Neodiprion lecontei: one gene and its partner. The protein of the gene in region 2 purifies or fractionates together with the protein of the main gene of each other region. This does not show direct contact. Links are inferred from orthologs where the notes say so. Each region holds a gene or a part of one and is shown on either strand. Other genes may lie near its edges. The genes, in order: RNA helicase aquarius and pre-mRNA-splicing factor syf1 homolog.

Region 1 (10,153 bases), on a different chromosome or scaffold from region 2:
AACTATTATTCATTACATCTAGTTTCGAGTTGTAGTCAAATTTTTTTCAAACTGTAAAGGCAAATTTCAATATCATGTGCAAAAATATACAGCTTTCGTCCGAAATTGAGCATGAAATGTCGGTTTATTACCCGATAACTACTTGCTGAACTGTCCGTGAGAATGACAGTTGTGTTGATACACTAATTGCTGTAGAGGATGAAAACAATCCAAAAATAAATACAAAAGCATAGCTTTCCGACAGGCGACGCAGCGTAAATTTCGGCTCGCATTGGTTTATTTCAGTCAGAATCTTGAATTTTTCAGCTCGATAAACTCGCGAACAATCAACTTCATAACTACTTCTTGCTACGAATTACAGCGATTATATTGCGCTGTTTGTTTACATGTATTTTGAATTTGCGCGCGGGTAAAATCGGTGATTTTATAAACGGTACGGGTATATTCCGCTATTTGAGTCTGGCAGCACTGGGTTCAACCTTAATTCAACCCTAACTTAACTTGAACAAGCTTTGCCTACCCTAGCCTAGCCCAAGGAGCCTGGCCTTGCCTAGCTCAACGTAACCTAACCTAGTCTTGGCATTTCTGCAATATACATTTCTGTTGAGACATGCAAATGGGAATTATTGGCCAAGAGGTGGGCGAAAAAGCAGAGGGTTTTCGTACATTCGAATAAGGGTGGAAAAGAACGCGAAGGTAAACAAATCTGATCAAATGGCCGAATTTATGTGACTGCTATTTTCGGATACATATTCGGGGAATAGACATGAGTGACCGAACCGGATACGACACGGGTGATCGTTCTACGTTCTGTAAGAAATCCGGGCCGGTATAACGAAATACCGATAAATCGTACAACTGTCAAGTCCGAGTGATATAAGGAGAATAAAAAAGCCGCGCCGACAGCGGGAGCCGCGGCTCGCGTGATACTGAAATTCAATATAATTGAATGAAATGCACATTATGGTCATGCATGTAACACTAATAATAGTTCGTATCACAGTTGGCTTGGCCATGTATCAAGGATCCTCGGCATCATCCTCGGATGAAGGTAGCGTCGCTACCATAAAAATTGGAAAGTGCTGCAAATCCAACGAACTGATTGTCGATGATCGATGTACACCGATAAAAGAAGCCACACACGGAGCAGGACCGTGGAAGCCGATATTTACCGACGAGGATGGACACGGTTTAACAGACCAGCCAAAATTTGAATTAAAATTTGGACTACCAAAGTGTAAAAATGATGAAAGACAGTGGAAGATATACGACGTGCCGAACCCTCCCAACATGGATTTACTGAGAATCCTCTCGTCTGGTAAGCTGCGACATTGCACCCAGTGTAACCTTGACAATACGGACTCGACTGCTGATGAGCTGGTGGAAGGTGAACGGAACAATGCCAAAAACAAGAGATACTACGACTATGAATTTGGAACCTACTGCGCTGACAAGACAATATTACGCAAAGAAAACATGACAACATTCTATGCACGTGTGTGTTTGCCGATAAAGAAACACGTCATGCATACAGACGTCATGATGCGGCGAGTTATAGATCCGTCGTTTCGAGCCATATCCATTGCCTGCTATCTTGTCGTTGCGATCGTATACTTTGTCTTACCGCAATTGAAGAACTTGATTGGAAATATCGTAACAAGTCTGATGCTATGCCTTGTGGCGAATCATTGCGCGGCAATGGTCAGAATTTTCCCCGAGTTTGGCAGTCATGTGAACTTTTTGGTCGCAGGTATGTTCAGCAGTAATGTACTATCCGCTGAGTATGATATGAATATTAAATTAAAATTAAATGGTTAGTAGTATTAGCCACTATAGTATTGGTCTGCCAGCTTTCGTATTTACAATAGTTTGAGTAAACATAGGTGTGGCAGGGTACTTAACAACTCTATTGCTTTCAGATGTAGTTATGTATGTGTCACTGATGTCGGCGTTCTTCTGGTTAAGCAGTTTGGGCTACTATATATGGAAGACTTTTAGATCACGCAACATTTTCCTCCGCTCGACCGATGGAAAAAAGTACTGTTACTACTCTCTCTATGTGTGGTCCCTAACCACAGTTATAGGAACAATGGCGATTTTCTCACACTTCAAGTTGGACACCAACAAACCAATGATAGTCGACGTGCCGGACGCCCCCCAGGAAACCATAGGGTGGCTGGCTGTAGCAGTTCTTTTTACGCCCGTTGCATTTAGTGTCATTTTTAATGTATGGTTCGTTGCGACGACCACAAATTTCATGAAACGAATGAACACGTATGGCAGAATTCACCATAAAATGAAGTATAGTTTCAGAATGTTTGTATTTCTATTTATTATTATGGGGGTTGCCTGGTCATTTACCCTACTTTCCTGGATGAGATCAGAGTTGGAATACTGTTCCATTGTCATAAATTTGTTACAAGCCATTCTAATTCTATATGTATGCGTGTTCGGTCAAAGAAGAGTCACCTTCTTGTTGAGAAAAACTTGCAACTGTTGCAGCCCAGGTGACACTGCTCAGGGCCTCGATTGGGGTGAAGAAATGACAGCTATTAATCTGGGATAACTGTGTCGCACATTGCCGAGTCCCTACTGCTGACTAATAATTTCATTGTCAACGAGTTTGTGAAACCTACATTCCACAATTGAATCTATTTTTCCCATGACTTGACAAGTATTTACCATTCAACCATACTAATGCAAATCCAGAGATTTTAACATTTCGTCGGCAACAGCCGATTATCCACATAAATTATCCAATCATTTTGAAGGATGCAAATTTCAGCACCAAGGGTACTACTTTTATAAATCTCAATCAATTCCTACAATTAGCTCGATCGTATAATCAAATCCTTTGACGCAATCGCACCATATCTAAGTACTTAACTAATTATACATTTTGCTGTTTGAGTCGTCGCACGAGACTGATGAAACAAATTATAAAATATATTAGCCCGTCATCTGGTTTTGTAAAAAATTAACTCCAACTTCGAGGAAGCATATCTATTTTTAAGTAAACGGAATTTCTCAATTAGTATTAGGATTAAGCTCATCGATTGAAGAGTAACTCTGTACCTTGCACAGTGCCTTTGTTTTGAAATATTTAATGATAATATTTACAGAACACTAACGCACTTTAAGGCTCTCACTTGTTTAGTGCAGCGATCTCAAATCTTTATACCTAAATCTATTAATTGACATGAATAAAATTTTTTTAATCTGCAAACCGAAGTCAAAGTGTATTTGTACATACGTCTTGTGTCGTGTAGTAGTCGACTAATCCAAGAAGCAAGTATTGATTATTATTTTTAGGGAATACCGTACCAACCAAATCATTTGTGTCTAGAAAGTGCAAAGCATATACCAGGTGTAACATGTGCGAGCATTGTTACAATTAAGTTATTGCCCGTGTTTGTTGCTTTTTCACACACGACATCCTGACGGTAATACAGGAGAAAATTGAATAAGATTACTCACCTGGTTGAAAAGACCTCCCTCTGGGCGTTGCACCAAGTTGGAGAGTTGACACCGTACTACCAAATGACTGTCATCCATGACTGTGTTGAAGAAACGTCTGGTAGGCAGAAGAGCTTCCAAGTCGATAACCAACTCCAAGAACCTTTCGCAATAATGTATCTTGTCGGGAAAAATTGCTCCTGAAATGTGGCAAAAAGGGCACGATGTAAGTATATCAGCTGAAATATAGTAATTAAAAAAGATCTTGCCCATTAAATGACCAAAATAATTTCAATCAAATTGGGTTTATGAGGCAACTTGGTATAAACACGCACAAGGTTTGAGAAACGATATTTCCAGTTAAATTGTTGTAATTATAAATGACAGTAAAAAAAAAAAAATAAACAGAAAAGGATGCCATCAACATCCCAATCGTAAGGAAGAGATTGGATTAAAATCAGTAACGGTAATGTAACAAAACATGGAATAGTAAATCAGCATTTTACATCTTTAAATGGACTTTGAAGAATTAAAGGTTGCAAATCCAAATTTCAAACAATTACCGTATAATCGCAATTACATTCCAGAATTGCAATGTTCCCCAATAAAATTCTGAGATACGATACTGATCTCCTCAACCGTTGAATAAAAACTCTCTCATAGAAAGACTCACCCTCGAGTGGTACAGTTTCCAGGATAGTCATAAATTTGACCATCAATCTCTGTAGGAATCTCCGCTCCCAGTCCAACTTCTGTCTGATCTCTGGCTTATCTTTCTTTTGTATAATTTTCCAATATTTTCTCCACTTGGGAAACTTTCTAAACTCAAACTCACGTCTGCCCTGTTGCAGTGATACCCACATTGACAATGACACCAACCTCTTAACTTCATTTCTCACTAACGCTACTTCCATAGAATTGAAACAATGATTCAAAAAAACAATAAGCGCCGTCTGTTCTTTAAGATCAAAATCCATTGTACTCTCGTTCAAACAAGCTTCCAGAACTTGCTGAAAAAATCCAGGAAAATGTTGAGGATTCTTCGAAAAAGCTTCCCAGACTTGGACTCTCTCTCGAAATTTTTCGTTCAGCATTACAACTATCGACATCATGTGACTGTGTGACGTTTCTCCTGTACTATAATTTGGCCAAAGATAATTTTCCAGGTATTGGCTGAATTCGAGCATCATTATGCGCCTGATTGAAAACTTTGAAGCACATATCTCTTGTATGTATATATCTTCGATGATTACCGGATCAAACTGGAGGTGTGAGTTGGTTGTGTGAGGTGCCCAATATTTGTTGGCCAACTGGAAAATGGAAACGTATACAGGTGAATACTTGATATGTAAGTGCATATTTTGTAACCGCCCAATGAAATCGTATGAATTAATATCTGCATTCAAAACAACCGGTCAACATAACCTCCTCGCCGCTACCGCACAGGCATGTATCATTACATGCGCATGATTTATGTAATGTATAATTCACCTCGGTTACGTTCTCTGTTATGGCGACGAGGTAGAGTATGAAAAACAAGACGAGCATGTGTATAATTCATGAAAATACGATACAATTATGCTACCTGTGTTATTCTGTCGGCATTTATTTGATCGACCGTGGGCGCAGGATTATTAGTTTTAACGAGGAGTGAAACTGCTGGATTTTCCATTTTCAGATATGAAGTATTTCAACGCTGTAAGAGTAGGAAATTAAACTCCTACAAGACAAACTTCGTCCCTGTGATCAACCAACGACCGTGATTGAACGGATGAAATCGTCAGACGTTGACGCCGGTTGTGATTGTGGTTTATTAGACAATTGTTGTCTACGCCATAAACACGGTCTGCCAAGGGAGGTGATGTCACGGAATATCCATGCACCACGAATGGACTCACGGATGCGTTCCGAAATTAGCTAACAGTGCTGTCAACTATAGTTTATCTCTTTTGCACTACCGAGTTCGTGGGTAACTCCGCCTCAGTTCTAGGGGATTGTTGGCGCGCCGTCGGCTAGTTTCGGAACCACATGACATAATGGTGGGTAGAAACATTTCCTCAGTTGAAATACTCAGTTTGTTTTACAAGCCATCAGAAAATATGCAATTTCCGATCAGATGAGCGCGAGCGACCGAATCACGAAATATGGGAACGGAAATAATGCATGAACAGCTGGCTTAAAGGGGCGAAGGAGTAAGTGGCGACAATGAGCATCGAAATCAGGTCAGTTGTTGACTTGTTCTGCAACATAAATGAAAAGACATTTTAAATTCGCTATGCATACTGAGCTGGATAGTAAGTTTATTACTATCATCGCTACACATAAAATGAACCCACGGTAGTGTTAAAAAATATTAAATGATTCCCCTCCTCGACATCTCGCGTCCAATGTCAGTTATATTTCATTATTTATTTTTTTTTCTTCTCTTTCCAGCAGACCGTTATCACACAAGTTGTAGAGATGATAGTCGCCGCTGCGTGAGTGACCTTCAACGCGAGTGTGAGCAGCACACTTTAAGATAGATTCACGGCATATGTAGAGATGCTAAGAAATTGCAGTATCAATAGCAATCTCGGTTTTGCCGTCGATTGAAAAACGTGGTAATGGTATCAATGATTTTTTTTCCTGTCACTTCTACAGCGCTCGATGATGAAACTACAACTGGACGGTCGTACATTATACGATTTAATTTCACCTGACACATTTATCAACTGTTGTGTTGTTGTTGTTAACACAGTTTCTACGAAAGACCATGTAGTCTTCCGAAAAATGTGCGAGAAAGATCATTATCGGTTAGTTGGAAGTAAATTGGCGCAGGGCGTAGAAATTATATCACTGGAATATACATATATAACGTAACGATTCCAATGCAAATATGCATGACGTTTCTATACTAAATGGTTACAGCAGGAACAATCGCATCGCTACCAGGATTGCACATGGTGATTATACTTGCCACGATTTTATGATAAGTGGTGGGAAATTTTGTTAGTATCAATTTATATGTTACTTAAGTTACATACGCTACTGTCGCTGTCGCAATACTTACCTATACACGTTACACGATTGTAGCGGACAATAACAAACTCGAGGCTTATGTGACAAATTTGTTTTTCTGCGTGGCGCGTTTTATATGAGTATAGGGAAAGACTATTGTATAGGTACACAATGAACATCCATGCGAGGCTCAATTATTGAATACTAGCTACGACTGCGACTGACGCAGCCGATTTTACACGAGGCCCGCATAAACGGGTTCAATAAGTGAGCCTGTGAATGCAGCGAGTATAAGGAGTATTCGCTTGTAATACATTAGCTTTGTCGGAATTGGAAAGATAACCAATAAGAATTGTGAAAATTGACCTCAATGCGGTATTCGGAAAACGTGATCGACTGGTGTCACCCTCATTTTATACCAGTAACCGACAAGGCTTGACATTTATCGAAAGCCACGTACAATCCTGCAATGCTGATCGTTGGATACAATTCGGACCTACATCGATGCGATGAGCACTATATTGGTAATCTGGCCAAGTATACACAGGGTCGTTTGCCACCGCCAAGTTTTTCTCGCATTGTCGAGCATCAGCAGGTATAAGTCAGTATATAAATTGATATCGCACAAGTAACCCTCCTGCGATACCCTCATCATCAGGGAGGGTGTGGTCTACATAGCGCGTCACGCAGCTACATCGTATACCTACCGGATACAGTCATATTTATATCAAGACACGCATGACACTTAAAACACTAGGTATAATGTCCCTTATCGCTCGAACTGCGACAAACACACGGGTTCTATAAAAGGCGATGCGTGGAGCGAAGTAGACTTAACGTAATTTGATTTTCGCGAGTTGAGGACCGCTGGTGATATATTCGTGATTTATACCCCATAGCGTAAACGGTGAATATTCGGCGTTACGCCTGCAGCATCAACAAATTATCGTTGAAATCGCACGGGATATTATAATAACACGTAATAAATCGTACCGACGAGATGCGCGGCACTGCTCTGCACCAGACTGTCGCATCGTCGTGGCTGATAATACTGCACCTCGTAGGAGGGATTTTCGGGCATGGTATGCTTGTTGATCCAGTGAATAGGAGTAGCATGTGGCGAAAGGGATACTCGACTCCGATAAACTACAATGACAACGAAAACTTTTGCGGAGGATACGCGGTAGGTCTTTCACCAATCACCAATGGTTATATTTCACCAATTGTCCTGCGTTACCAGAGTTCGCTGCACTTCGGTTGTAGAATTAGCGCACAATATGATAATATCTGTTATGTCCTTCATATGAAAGAAGTTTCGGTAGATCGGTTATACGTCGTTTTGTTGAATTTCTTAGAAACAATGGAGCGAGAACAGCGGTCAATGCGGGATATGCGGAGACGATTATGCACTGAAGCAGCCGCGACCGAACGAAAATACAGGGACTTATGGAAATGGAATTATTGTTGCCACGTGAGTTTAATTATTATTCTTATTCTTGTTATAGCTGCTGATGCCGACTAACGAAGGAATACTACAAAAGTAAAGTTTGCACAGCAATAGTCTGTAAGGTGCGGGGTCGTGTCCCGTCACACCGATATAGGTGCATATTTTTTTATATCCGAACGTCTGACGGTTGAGAATAAGTCAATTCATGCAAAAAGCTGAAATGAATATTAAGAACAGAAAGTATTCAGATACGGATATACGTAGAATCATTGGACGATCAAAATTAAAAGGTAAGATATGATCGACAGCCGTTATCTTTACGGGTAACACTGATTTCCACTATCTGCGATTATCAACAGTATAACGTACCAATGACACGTTTGATATAGGTACGTATAGATTGTACAAGCAAGCCTAAGAAATAACAGACTGCAGAAAATGAGTAAACGGAAAGGTGATGTCTGTCCACGCATTCCTTATACGCATATACGTATATTACAATATATACATATACCTGTTCATACGGGATAATTTCTATCGGTTGTTGAAATCGAGTGCGAATAACGTCGCCGCGCCGCCCGCGATTTTACACGATACATATGCCGATACCCGCACAAGCGGTTCTAATTGTTGCTCACGAGTCAAGTATTCGGCGGATTACAAATGACCCTGTCGGTATATTAAAATTACTTTCGAGCAAACTGACCCGGCGATTATAATATGTTCACGTGACATAAACTAACTAACGTGTTCTAGCGTATTTAGGGAACAACTGCATTTTATGCCACGCATTGTTTTAATTTTAGTCATGTGTTTCTATAATGTTATTATCCGACCACAGCTACGAGCAAGGATCATGGGTGAACTTGACCGTGATGATAACTGCAAATCACAGAGGCTATTTTAATTTCAATATTTGCCCACTCGAGGATGGTCCTGAAGTAATTGAGACGGAAGATTGTTTCGAGATGTATCCTCTCATTTTGGACGAAGGTTCTTACGACTACACCCTCGCCACCTCGGCTACCGGCAGCTACACGGCAACCGTCAAGTTACCAGACTCATTAGTTTGCGAACACTGCGTGCTGAGATGGCACTGGAGGACGGGCAACAACTGGGGATTGTGTTCTACCGACGACGGATTCGGGCAGACCGGATCTCTTGGTTGCGGACCCCAGGAGACCTTCAGAACGTGTTCCGACATATCTATCCTATAACACGTCGCTTTACGTTTGTACACCCGCATCTTTTTCACCGTGGTATACATTTGTGTACGCGAACATTATACCGATTTCCGTACACTGTGAAAACAAGACAGGTAAGAGTTTGTCCTGCACATCGATCGTCGTAAGTCATCCCCATTCCGTGAGCAGGAAAATATACAAGAAGACGTTACGTTGCTTGTTGGCGGGCGATCTTGGTTTGGATTGCAGAAATTCCAGCGGTGTAATGAAATGGCATATGTTCGCAAGTTTCATTGTACGCAAGAAATTAGAAAGAGAAGGAAGGTACGTGCGAGCATGTGTCTTTCCAATATCTGCTGCTCATGCACGTTTCATGTCTCATCATTAGTAATAATTTTGATTGTAAGATTGTAAAATTGGAATACATTTTCATTATCAATCCAGTGAAATATAAATAAACAGATAAAACTGAACCGGTCAGTGCCGCAGTACACTGATTATTAATTAATCAAACATCGATGTATATCTACGTATAATAATGATATGTGTGTACATCGCGAGGTCCAATTCAGCGAGACGAGGAAATTATAGTAACACCGTACGGGTATATATCAGTATATACTATATAGGTACACACAAATGGGTTAAATGTATCATAACTCTGTGCGTGTGTTATAAATATACCAGTATCGAACGGTAAAAACTCTTTCTTCTTCTCTTCTCTTCAACGTACTGTACCTCGAGCTCTTGCCTCTCACCGGATCGAAAGATACACTACGGATAGGAGAGAGCGGTATACAGGGTAAAGGGGTAACGGCGACGATATGTTGTCGCTGTAGTAGGTATATCGAAGGTGGACTGTAGGTGCAGAGCGTATAATAGAGAGCCAGGAAAGAAGGCGAGGCGAGGCGCGGTGTGCCGAGGCGCGATGGAGATTCTCCGTTCACCGTTCGCCGTTCACCGTTCACCGTTCAACGTTCACCGGGCCGACAAGTCTCTGGAAGTACGTAGCAGCCTTCCGTAGCAGAGAAGGCTCCTGCGGTTACCGCCTGGCCAACCATACGCGTTT
Region 2 (11,955 bases):
TTGCGAGAGAAATCGATTGAGCGCAGTCCGAATAGGCAGCGATCAACGGATCAAAAGTTACAGCCAGAAAACAAGTTCCCGTGTTTTAGATATTTTTCAGCTGGTGCTCTTTCCATCGTCATCCCTCTGCTGTTGCTCCTACGCACTTTTTGCTGCGTTTTCTGAGTTCCTGGTGGTCCAATCAGGCAGTAAAGTGTCATACAAATCGAATCTGAGACCATAAATTTTTTCCCCAAAAAATAAGTAAGGCTAACCCTTTTGTATTTTTGGCGAAAATTTTCGTGGCTTTGAAAAGTGCTGGAATAAATTATTTCTGGCACTATTCCGACGTAATTTTGCGAGAGAAATCGATTGAGCGCAGTCCGAATAGGCAGCGAACAACGAATCAAAAGTTACAGCCAGAAAACAAGTTCATGTGTTTTAGATATTTTTCAGCTGGTGCTTTTTCCATCGTTGTTTCTCTGCTGTTGGTCCTACGCACTTTTTGCTGCGTTTTCTGAGTTCCTGGTGGTCCAATCAGGCAGAAAAGGGTCATACAAATCGAATCCGAGACCAAAACTTTTCTCCCCAAAAAATAAGTAAGGCTAACCCCTTTGTATTTTGGGCGAAAATTTTCGTGATTTTGAAAAGTGCTGGAATAAATTCTTTCTGGCACTATTCCGACGTACTTTTGCGAGAGAAATCGATTGAGCGCAGTCCGAATAGGCAGCGATCAACGGATCAAAAGTTACAGCCTGAAAACAAGTTCCTGTGTTTTAGATATTTTTCAGCTGGTGCTCTTTCCATCGTTGTTTCTCTGCTGTTGGTCCTACGCACTTTTTGCTGCGTTTTCTGAGTTCCTGGTGGTCCAATCAGGCAGTAAAGTGTCATACAAATCGAATTTGAGACCAAAAATTTTTTCCCCAAAAAATAAGTAAGGCTAACCCCTTTGTATTTTTGGCGAAAATTTTCGTGATTTTGAAAACTGCCGGAATAAATTCTTTCTGGCACTATTCCGACGTACTTTTGCGAGAGAAATCGATTGAGTGCAGTCCGAATAGGCAGCGATCAACGGATCAAAAGTTACAGCCAGAAAACAAGTTCCTGTGTTTTAGATATTTTTCAGCTGGTGCTCTTTCCATCGTTGTTTCTCTGCTGTTGGTCCTACGCACTTCTTGCTGCGTTTTCTGAGTTCCTGGTGGTCCAATCAGGCAGTAAAGTGTCATACAAATCGAATTTGAGACCAAAAATTTTTTTCCCAAAAAATAAGTAAGGCTAACCCCTATGTATTTTTGGCAAAAATTTTCGTGATTTTGAAAACTGCTGAAATAAATTCTTTCTGGCACTATTCCGACGTAATTTTGGGAGAGAAATCGATAAAGCGCAGTACCAATACGTTGCGAGCAACGGGTCAAAAGTTACAGGCGAAAAACCAGAACCTGTGTTCTTCACATTTTTCAACTGGTGATCTTTTCGTCGTCATTTCCCGGCTGTCGGAGCGCTTATCTCTGAGGTCGAGTTTCACCAGGTAGCGGACCTGGAGCGCCGAAATTATGGAGCGCTAGTCCCGGAACTCGACGTGCACCAGGAAGCGGACTTGGAGCGCAGGATCCAGAAGGTAGAGAACCCGGTACCCGAAATCTGGGGAGCGCGATTTTCATACGTCCGCTCTACTGCGTGGTTGTTTCCAGACTGAGGAATTCGACTAGCTGATTACTGTAGATCGATGACGTCAAGAGAAGAAAAATTTCGGGAGACGTCACTTTCTGAAAATCCGATCATCCAAACTATGGTTTTGAACTTTAATACCATGTATGATGTATGATGTATGATGCATGATATGACGAGATGTATCATGATTTTAGTTCTCACATTACACACAAGAAATATGCACGTTATCTTTCCTGCCGATTCAAGCGACTAGGTCCTTCGATGGTCAGCCCTTGACTAAAGACATATATTCTTCATTTAACGGGTCTGCTAATAACGCTGCCGTTCTGCGACAGTTGGATGATACAAATTTGCTTGTACCTTTCAAATGTGTGTTAAAATACACTTGACGTTTTGAGAAGCTTCATTCTTTCTCTCCTTACCAAAAAAAAAAAATCGCCCACGCAAGCGCACGACGATTTTCGGTTGTCACACCAAAGCCCCTTAGGGCACGGCGTTAGGGTAACTGTCGTTATTTATTCATCAGTCACCGTAGGAGGTGTTTGGCGGTGGTTGAAGGTGATCGGCGGAGGTCGAGGAAGACGATAACGACGTGGCGGTCGATGGACGGCGAGGAGTAGGAGGACGGTGCCGAGGTGGACGAGGTGGACGAAAGTGGTCAGAGGTGGTTGGACGTGTTCGGAAATGGTAGGAGGTGGTAAGCGCTAGTCGGAGGTGGTAGGGGGCGCTAGAAGGTGGTCGGAGATCGCCGTCGGCCGCAGGGGATAGTAGGAGGTGTTCAGAATGGTAGGAGGAGGTAGGAGGTAGTAGGAGCTGGTTGGAGGTTGCAGGAGGTGGCAGGGGCGGTAGGTGCTAGTAGGAGGTGGCAGGGGGTGGTAGGAGGTGTTTGAAGGTGGCAGGCGGGGTTAGGCGGAGGTTGGAGAGGGCAGGAAGTGTTTGGCGGTAACTGGAGGTGATCGGCGGTCGACGAGGAAGACGTGGGTCGGGGGGTTGGGCGAGTACGAGCAGGAAGAGGGGGGGGGGGGGGGGGAGGACGAAGGTGGGTGGAGGTGGTTGACGGCGGTTGGAGGTGCTCGGTGGTATTTGGGGTGGTTGACGGTGGATGCGGTGGTCGTCGGAGGCGGTTGGCGGTGGACGCGGTTACGCGTCTCCTCACGGGGATCATCGAGCTGATGAACATTTCTAAGTCGCAGTCAACAGTCTTACGTACTCACTTTGTGCCGACTCAATCTCAAGCTTCCATACCGACACTACTTTAGTTGCTAGGAATGTCGGCGAGAGCCCGTTAGATAGAGTCGATAGAGCAAAACCCTTCTACGGTCCCAGGCCCACCCGGGCTCACTTGGCCGCCAAAAACTGGTCACAAAAATTTACCTAGGGGTAACAGTCTTTATATTCTTCAACGTAGTGGAATACAATCGATTTAAATTTTAGGATCCAAACCACTCAGGCAGTCCATTAGGGTGTTGAACGTAACTTGATCTGTAGGATTTCATTTTGATATTTTATTACGCATAAGTTTTTCCAAAATGCAAGGTTGATACAGAAACGGTAAGGCGGACAATACAGGCGCGAATCAGAATTTTATTTTCAATTCTCCACGTGCAAGGCAATGCTCGGAGCCAAACAGATGAACGACATGTACAATAGTTTACTTGTTTTTTTTTCCACTTCGAATCAAACCATAGTGGTGAATGCTCGTATGACAACAAATATGTCGTATTGAAAAATCTTTAGTCGTCCTCGTCCTCTTTGGTGGCCTTGAGGCTTCCAAAAACTTTCGATGGAATGGCTTGTTTCTCTACCGGTACATCTAGAAAAACGAGACACCATCAAACTGGGGATATTCGTGTAAGAGGAGTTTCGTTCCTAGTGAACAAGAAGATGTAATACTATACCCTCTTCAATTTCTTTCTCCTCATCTTCACTGTCGTCGTCCATGTCAATGTCTATTTCATCTGGATTGTTCACTTGACGTTCGGACTTTCCAGCTCCTTCAGTTACTCCTCGTACAAATTTGATATTATCTTTGAATCCGGGTTGCGCAGCAGCATCTGGAAGGAGGAACGATAATTAGACATGAGTCATTTTACAAATTTTTCTTTAGGTTCGTACACTTAACCAGAAACTGACCTGTACTGGTTGAGGGTATCTTGTTGTCCAAAAGTCGCATAGCGTCACCGGTGCCAGCACTGTCATCGATAGAGAGATTTGTCGCACTGTTAAGCATCTGTGCTGACATCATGTTTACTTGGGTGTTGTACATTGCTTGCACGCTTCTCTTGATTCGCAGCATTTCCCGCATCGTGTCCTCATTGCCGTGGCGGACTTCAAACTCTTTCCAAACTTGCCAGAAATTAGACGTTACCTAAGGAACAAGAACCACTGTGTTACTTATTTGCTGCTCGTACAGAGCATTGAGAAAGATAACTAAAATAAAGTTAAGCAATTCGCTAACCCGGGGATCGCATATTTGACTGCAGTGAGCGTAAATCGCCCTCGCTCGATCGACTTCACCGAGCTTAGTTTCCATCTCTGCAAACCGGAGACACATCTCCCGCGTATTTTCTTCATTCAGAACTTCGATCGCCTTTTCATAGATCTGCCGCGTCTTCGGCACTCCGTATATATCAGCGGCTTTCTTTATGTATATGTTGAACATCTAAAAGGAATGAAAAATTGAAAAAACTACGCCCAACAAACTTTTACCTATTCTTTCGAACACCGTTACCCACCTCAAATCTTTCTTCTGGTAAAACAGCGCTAGTCGCTCGCTCGTATACGGACATCGCGTGCCTTGCTAAGCCATGTTCCTCTTCCAGTTTCGCGTACAGCAAATAAAGAGCTTGATAAACAAAAAGAATTTAAATGTCGTTTAAAATCAAGACGGACAGGCTTTAGGTAAAATTTGGTATACCTATTCAATTTTAGAACAAACTTACCCTTCGCATACTTTGGTGGGCAATGTTCCAAGCATTGTTCAAACAGATCGCGAGTTCTTTCCAATTTCGTTCCCTCGTATCTTTTCAGGAATTTGGTGAGGTACGTGTTCCATATGTCATATACATTTGGCCACTTAAACAGAGCAATACCCTTTTCGTAGGCCTGAAAGAAAAAAGCGTAAACGTCGAATATTCCGCGATATGTAGATACAAGGTGTATTGCTACATGCTGAGAGAAAAAGAAATATCCACCCTGAAGGCTTCCTCGAAATAGTTATTCTCCTCCAAAAATAGACCATAGTTTATGATGATCTGCGGCGTCGCAATTTTGAGATCTATGATCTTGTCATACACAGCCTTGCACGTCTGAAAGACGAAAATTCATCTGTAATCAGCAACTCAATGTTGACCAGTTTTATTGACAATCAATAGATATATTACATGGTGTACCTTGAATGTACCAAAGCTCTCCTCGAGATCAGCGTACATGGACCAGACTTTAAGTGACTTGTACAATCTCATTTGAACGGTCTCAGTCTCGTCGTGATACGCAACTTTGCGTGAGGGCATGGTGGTTGCCTTGTGCATAAGCTTCAAGGCCTCTTTGCAATTGCTAATTACAAGAAAATGGAACACCATAATTACAGTAAATTCCTAAAATGGAATTGCAACTATTTGTAATGATCAATACTTACTCGTGCCTGATCTCCATTTCGGCCCACTCGCACCAAACGGAAGCAAGATCATCAACCTTCGTGTATGCGACGTGCGTCGCTTTATCGAAAACAACTCTGGCATCTGCGATCTGTCCATTCTCTTCATAGAATTTGGCAAACGCAACCCACAGTGTGTGCAACTTGCCAACTGCCTGTTGTGGCAACACCGTTTGAACAGCCTCTGTATACGTGTTGATTATCTGAGAAATTTCATCTGTTAGTGACTTGATCAACCAAGCAGAGATGTTGACGTTTCTTCGACTTTGGTTACCTCATGAGGTTGCCCCTCATAGAGCATGACTCGTTTGTGCCATTCTTGAACGTTGTGCGGATTTTGCCTAAGCAGCACACTGTTCAGCAACAACAGTCTTCTCTCCATGAGGTGTTCAAATCTTGCTAATCGAAGTTCGAGTTCAATGTCATCTATAAAATCATAGAAATTGTAGACAATAGATAATCTCACTTGGGTCAATGAGCCAAGTATTTAAGACTTACCTTCTTCGGTTGGATTGGGATTTTTGGCAGCATCCTCCATCCTCTTGCTGAGGCTGAGTTCCTCAAACTGGGCATACGCATCAAACACTTGGGTAAAGTCCCTGACAGTGGAAACTGTCTGGATTGCTTCTTCGTAGATATCTCTGGCCTATGGAAAAAACAACCTTTTGGTCCAAGTACAAAGATCTCGTTCACTGTTTTGCGAATTGTAAAAGATACTTACGCGCTCAAAAAGGCCACTACGAACGTAATAATCAGCCAATGAATTCCACAGTGGACCCAACTGATCAGTATATCGCCTCAATCCACCTCTGATTATTGCATCAACGTTCAAGGATTTTATTTTGGTAGGATTCTTTGATATAAGGTCGCAGAGCTCGTTCCACAGCTGGTGGTTCGATTTACCATGCTTTGACACAAAGTCGTCCTGGTTTACGATTTGGGCTAATTTGACCGCAGCTTCGTCCAGTCTTCCCGTCGATATCAAATACTCTATGTATTCCTCTGCATCTTCTGGAGCTAACTGCAACCATGTGACTTAATCCGTGTAGTATTTGAGTACCATTTCATGTTAGTATGAAAATAAATCGATCGGGGAGTACTCACCTTCAGATATCTCCTGAAGACGCGTACAGCTGTTTCATATACATTGTGTTTCTTGAGGAAGCCAATGTAAAGTGGCCAGACACGATGATGCTGCGTGATGGGAAGAGCCCGAAGCGAGCGATCGAATACCTGACGGGTCCTCGTGATGTAACACTGATCGGTCATCAGGGTGCAATAGTCCATCCAGATTCGAGGCATTTTGTGCATGAATACAAGTGCTCGTTCAAAAGCATTGTTTACATCCTCGTAGAGCGGGTCTGTCACGCAGCGTCCCTTCAGCTGTTTTACCCTCTGACGCAAGTAGTTATACCATAACTTGTAGCTATAAAATATTTTCATTTAGTGATCGTTCAAAGTATAGAGCAACTCTTTGCTCACCTTCCCGGCAGCTCCTTCAAGGCTCGTTCATAGACAATATTGAGGTTAACGCTCTTCGTGCTCTTCAAGTGATCAATGTAGCGTTGCCAGTGCTTAACAGAGTAAGGATTCCGCAGGATTTCCTCCTCGTAAGGCAGATCCTCCTCATTCTGCGAGAGATAACGAAGGTTGCTGATTTGTTTTTTGAGGTTAGGTTTAGTTACCGAAAATATTTAAAGGTTATACTCACGAAGATGTAACTATTCCCATCAGAATCCTCTCGCTGCATCATCTCTGCTCAAGTAATGACTAGACCCGGCTTTTATTCTCTTCAAATTAATAACAATGCGACATAACTGTAACACGTATAGCGTTGTATAGCACGACCTAACTTAGCAAGTAATACCGCGTCAAACAACCCGAAACTACCAAAATGATACAGACGCAGACGGAGCAGACGGGGAATCGTTGAGTTGTTTCCGAATCTATTGTGACCGTAAAGACACCAGAGGACGGCAGTCCTATCGTCGAATGTCAACCGTAGGAATTGGGATTGAACAGTTTCACCTTCCAAATTATATCTCGCTTGCAATGAAAGCAGCGAAAACCAACCTTCCGTGCTGTTTGTAAAATAATTCTAGTAGTAGAGGTAAACAAACACACTTTGAATACTTTCTCTTCCGTTTTATCATGGAATTACCAGCTACATCGTCTCTGCAATTAGATGCGGATTATACACGTACACTTCTACATGCACCCGACTATCGATTCCTCTCAGCTCCTCTTAAATTCATTTTTATATATTATTTTAAGACTTTAATTCGTCCATCACCAATAATTCACGCATTACTTAGTAAAAATGGCAATTAAACAAGTACAGACAGCAATTATGGAGTCAAAATGCGTCACCTTTGGTATTTTGATCGCTTAATTATTATACTCTTGCTGTAATATGCGTGTATACTTTACATGAACCATGCCTACTGTGAGGATGACTCATACAGTATAAACAAGGGTGCGTATTTCAAACTTATAGAATATGGATAAAAGCTGCTTTCCTCTTCTGCAAGCCTCTTTATCGTATATCGAAGAAAACTGATGCATTCTGGCATTATGACACCAGTTTGCAAGAACGAATAGGTATAATAGAACAGCGAAGAGATGTTAAAAGCTCGTCAAAACCTTGAACGCGCGTCTATAACGCACTTATTTATAAACGCAGCTTTGCGTAACGCGCGCGCTGTATGATATTGTCTAGCGCGGGAGGGCAATAATTATATGTATATCCGCGTGTAAGAACTTGCACAATTATTTAAACCACGATCTCGCCACCGCTGCCGCCGACATACGTTTATTCTGGTGGAGCATCCTTCCGCTGCTGCTGTTCATCTCGTTTTTTCTCGTCGCCGACTATCGGGACAAGGCTTCTAATCTGCTGATCGCGAACACGAAGATCAACCACGCTCAGGTAAGGTGCAACAATCGAGGTACGTCGGTTAGTTGCGTTCGAATTTGCACCTGCGTAACGCGAGGTCTCGCGCCGATTTGGGCACAGAATGATAATCATCAGCTTGTAAGCCGGAATAATCATGCCTCGCAACGGTGCTCTGTAATTTTTAATGTAATTGCTCGAACACAATTTGTTCAGTTACATAACTTGACCGGCCTCGGGATTTTTCAATAAATTAAGAACACGCGTGCGATCGTCGAACGTATAAATTCATGCGAAAGCGAATCATCTAACAGCCGGAATTGGACGGATGCCAGTAGATCGTATAATTCAAAAATAAAATTCTCCTAGCTGTGCGAGTTATCAGCTCTACTCTTATACCGCTCGTGGTTCAGAAACCCACGACTACTGACCCAGCTGTTGGTTTTTTAGGCGCCGAACCAGGAATCACACGTTAGCAAAAAATCGAGAAGGATGACTGTTACACTGTGGGTCGTCGGCGGTCCCGGATGCGGGAAGGGCACCCAGTGCGAGAAAATCGTTGCAAAGTACGGCTTCCTTCATCTCAGCAGCGGTGATCTTCTTCGGGACGAAGTCGCCAGTGGCAGTCCAAGGGGCGCCCAACTCCAAGAGCTCATGTCCCAAGGCCTCTTTGTACCATCCGTAAGTTGCGGGACATTTGGCCCGAATTCCTAAAGAGTTCTCTTTCGTCTTCTCGTCTGTCTTCGGACAACATCAAATCAAATTAGCGCGTTCTAGTTGCAATATGAAACGTTGCATATGAAGTCAAAAATATGTCTTTAAAAAAAAGGTATTCAATGGTTTATTTTGTTAATCACCAATTATACAGGACGTCGTCCTCGGACTGATCAAAGAGAAGATAAACAAGGGAAAGGAGGACAAGGTCCCGGGGTTCCTGATCGACGGATACCCACGGGAACTTAGCCAAGGGCTTGAATTTGAGAAAGAAGTAAGAATTTTGCTTTCCATAATATTTTCCAGTTGACCAAACGCATCCGCGACGCATATACTCAATCCTCTAATTATTCCATCGTAGATCGGGCCGGTGGACCTAGTGCTCTTCTTCGACGTGGCGAACGAGACTTTGACAAAGAGGTTACTGGGTCGTGCGGCCTCGTCGGGAAGAGTCGACGATAATGAGGAGACAATCAAGAAACGCATAGCAGTATTCAACGAGAAGAACGGGCCGATCGTCGAGCATTACAAGGACAAGGTTGTCAAGGTACGTATGTACATATGTACAATGCATGTGACCATTGGAGTTTCATAGCTGCAATAAATTCTTACACCGATATTTAACTGTAATGATTTATCGTTACATTTTCTGCTAGATAAATGCCGAGGGCGCGGTCGAGGACATCTTCGCCGAAGCGAGCAAAGCCATCGATGCCGTGAACAAGGTTTAAAATCCGCAAAAGTTCCCTAATTTTCCCCTTCATCATCTCATAGACATAATATAGGATTTTATAGCAAATTATTTATTCACGTATTTTTCGTAATATCACGAAACTAGTTCACGCACAATTACACCCCAATGACGAATAAAGATATTGATTAGTTGAAAATTTCAATTGTTGTTCATTAAAATCCATAAAAATCAATATTAATCATAGACGTCGGTTGCCCAATTTTCAAGGACACTGGGCAGCGTCACTAAAGTTTGACATCCCGACCCGATGATAATGAACACGAGTCTGTCATTATCAGGTGACATTGTCTACCGTTCAATGTCCACAGCCAGGATGTGCAGCCATTTAATTACGCATCCACATGACAATGACGAGTAAATTGAACACTGCATTGTCTGCGACCGTAGTTGCGTATCCGCAACCGCTAATGTCGTGAAAAATCAGCGTCAACTGTAAATATATCAAGGGTCGAGTATAACGAAACGATTCAGGCAAATTTAGTTGCTATAATTTGAGTCAGGCATGGTGCTCTGGATGGTCCTGGTGCTCGTCGTCGCGAGCCGGGTGAGCTGGACTCCGGCGAATGCTCAGTGCTCGCAGATTTCATTTCGCAAAGACCCGGTTTACGCCTTGACGAAACGATGTACGCGGTCGACCGCAACACCGATATCGAGACGTAATTTAGAGGACCTGAAAAGCTGCAAAGAATTTGCCGTTTCTAAAAAGGCTTTGGCGTTCAACTTTCGTCCGAAGAAATATGCCTCAAACATCACGATCAGCGGTCAGCTAATATAATAATTCTGCCTGAATTAAATTACACCGCGGCTGTTCAATTCGTATATCATTTATAATCATCAGATAATTGCATCGCTTTGGAATGCCCGATGGAACTGCATCCTCAATCGACCAGTTTTGTCAAGGATTCGAGATTCGAATACTATAGCGCGTACGGCGGCAACGTGGGTGAGAATAACATTGCAGATGAATAAAGGGCTTCATCAAGGCATTCTACGCCAATTCAATCAACGCTTACCTTGATCAAAATTTCTACTGCTACAGATTTTTACAGAAATTGGAACATTTCGTATTATTTCGTACAAAACTGTAAGTATGCGTAGTTTATCGGAAAGAATTTTTAATTTTCTTTAAAAATTGTAGTAGCTTGTGGATTCTTTACTGAAAAAATACACATTTTCAGAAAATCTACAAGTTTTTATGAAAAACTGCATGTTTACAATTTTGTACGAAAACAATTTTTTGTGCGAAATTGTCCAAAATGTCCCAATTTCCCTAAAAAATCGCAGAAAATCGTAGAAATCATTTTCACCAGGGTGACCCTTACCTAATTATCTAATAATATTCTCCAGATGAAATGAATTCTTAGCATTTCTTGCAATTTTGTACATTTCGAATAATTTTATTGAAACAAATTTTGGAAAAAAGAAATAAGTTTGAAAAATAACATGTAGTCAATATATTAAGGACTTCATGTAGTCAAAACTAGCAGATAAAAAGTCTATAATGAATTGTTGGGTATTTCCTTTATACCAAGAAATGCAATAAAAAATCAAATCGGTTAGGAAGCAGAGATTGCAGGTTGATTTGGCATGGAACGCCACATTTGCGCTTATGAAAACATGCTGCAGGGTTAAGTCCACCAATTATCAAATACCCAATTCAGATTCGTCGTTATATATAATGACTTGAAAGAAATATATACTCGAGCATCTCACAGGAAACTAAAGCGAAATCAAAATTAAGATCTTTACAAGTACCAGTAAAAATTGGTGAACTCACAACTATTGCTAGTTCCACCTGACAAATAAACTAAAATGAAAGACCAGAATAGTGCGATTCGGTGCCCCTCAACTGCCTGTATGTTGCAAACTGGGAATAGCATATGGACATGGAATAAAAGCAAGCTGCCTACCAACATTAGGAGTGTTCAGGCTCGCAGATACCCCATCAAACTACAGCACAGCTCGCGAGAAGTGCGCAGCTTGGGGTGGAAAATTGGCGCATGTGGTCAGTGCTGTTCGCACAGATCTCCTAGCTACGTTGATGACCGGGAACATCAGCACAGCGTTTGTAGGACTCAGCAGTCAAGGCAAAGAGCGGCTCTGGAAGAACGAGTTTGGTATAATAATATTGCAATGATCGATATACTCGACTGGATATAAGGTTGAAGAAATAAATAAAAAAAAAGGGTCGCTCAGTCTTGAAAAGAAATCTCTGCAGATGAGCTTCTGGACTGCTTCGATTTTCGGGGATGGGCACAGCGGGAGCCACACTCGAAACGAGGATGTGTT

The links.
Region 1: the proteins of pre-mRNA-splicing factor syf1 homolog (region 2) and RNA helicase aquarius fractionate together in Homo sapiens (co-fractionation; 3 studies listed by BioGRID and IntAct, with this or other methods). This does not show direct contact. The link is inferred for Neodiprion lecontei from reciprocal best matches to the Homo sapiens genes XAB2 and AQR.

What each region holds. Positions count from the first base shown.
Region 1 is NC_060266.1:123,489-133,641, reverse strand, and holds the start of RNA helicase aquarius, read right to left. Parts: upstream 5,278-10,153; 5' UTR 5,129-5,277; coding exon 5,042-5,128; intron 4,767-5,041; coding exon 4,130-4,766; intron 3,657-4,129; coding exon 3,478-3,656; intron 3,227-3,477; exon of another isoform or gene 2,567-3,226; coding exon of another isoform or gene 1,920-2,566; intron 1,751-1,919; coding exon of another isoform or gene 955-1,750; exon of another isoform or gene 250-954; intron 22-249; exon of another isoform or gene 1-21. Other genes in the region: probable G-protein coupled receptor Mth-like 5, read left to right, coding at 955-1,750, 1,920-2,566; uncharacterized protein LOC107223546, read left to right, coding at 7,454-7,636, 7,809-7,924, 8,742-9,117.
Region 2 is NC_060264.1:23,212,792-23,224,746, reverse strand, and holds pre-mRNA-splicing factor syf1 homolog, read right to left. Parts: upstream 7,353-11,955; 5' UTR 7,211-7,352; intron 7,196-7,210; exon of another isoform or gene 7,123-7,195; 5' UTR 7,059-7,122; coding exon 7,017-7,058; intron 6,937-7,016; coding exon 6,788-6,936; intron 6,732-6,787; coding exon 6,410-6,731; intron 6,327-6,409; coding exon 6,027-6,326; intron 5,952-6,026; coding exon 5,804-5,951; intron 5,732-5,803; coding exon 5,580-5,731; intron 5,509-5,579; coding exon 5,288-5,508; intron 5,206-5,287; coding exon 5,043-5,205; intron 4,959-5,042; coding exon 4,845-4,958; intron 4,756-4,844; coding exon 4,593-4,755; intron 4,496-4,592; coding exon 4,386-4,495; intron 4,313-4,385; coding exon 4,109-4,312; intron 4,019-4,108; coding exon 3,784-4,018; intron 3,705-3,783; coding exon 3,549-3,704; intron 3,464-3,548; coding exon 3,384-3,463; 3' UTR 3,215-3,383; downstream 1-3,214. Other genes in the region: adenylate kinase isoenzyme 1, read left to right, coding at 8,691-8,879, 9,067-9,186, 9,274-9,459, 9,569-9,643; uncharacterized protein LOC107224118, read left to right, coding at 10,169-10,427, 10,505-10,609, 11,544-11,783, 11,885-11,955. UniProt on the Homo sapiens protein: Involved in pre-mRNA splicing as component of the spliceosome. Involved in transcription-coupled repair (TCR), transcription and pre-mRNA splicing.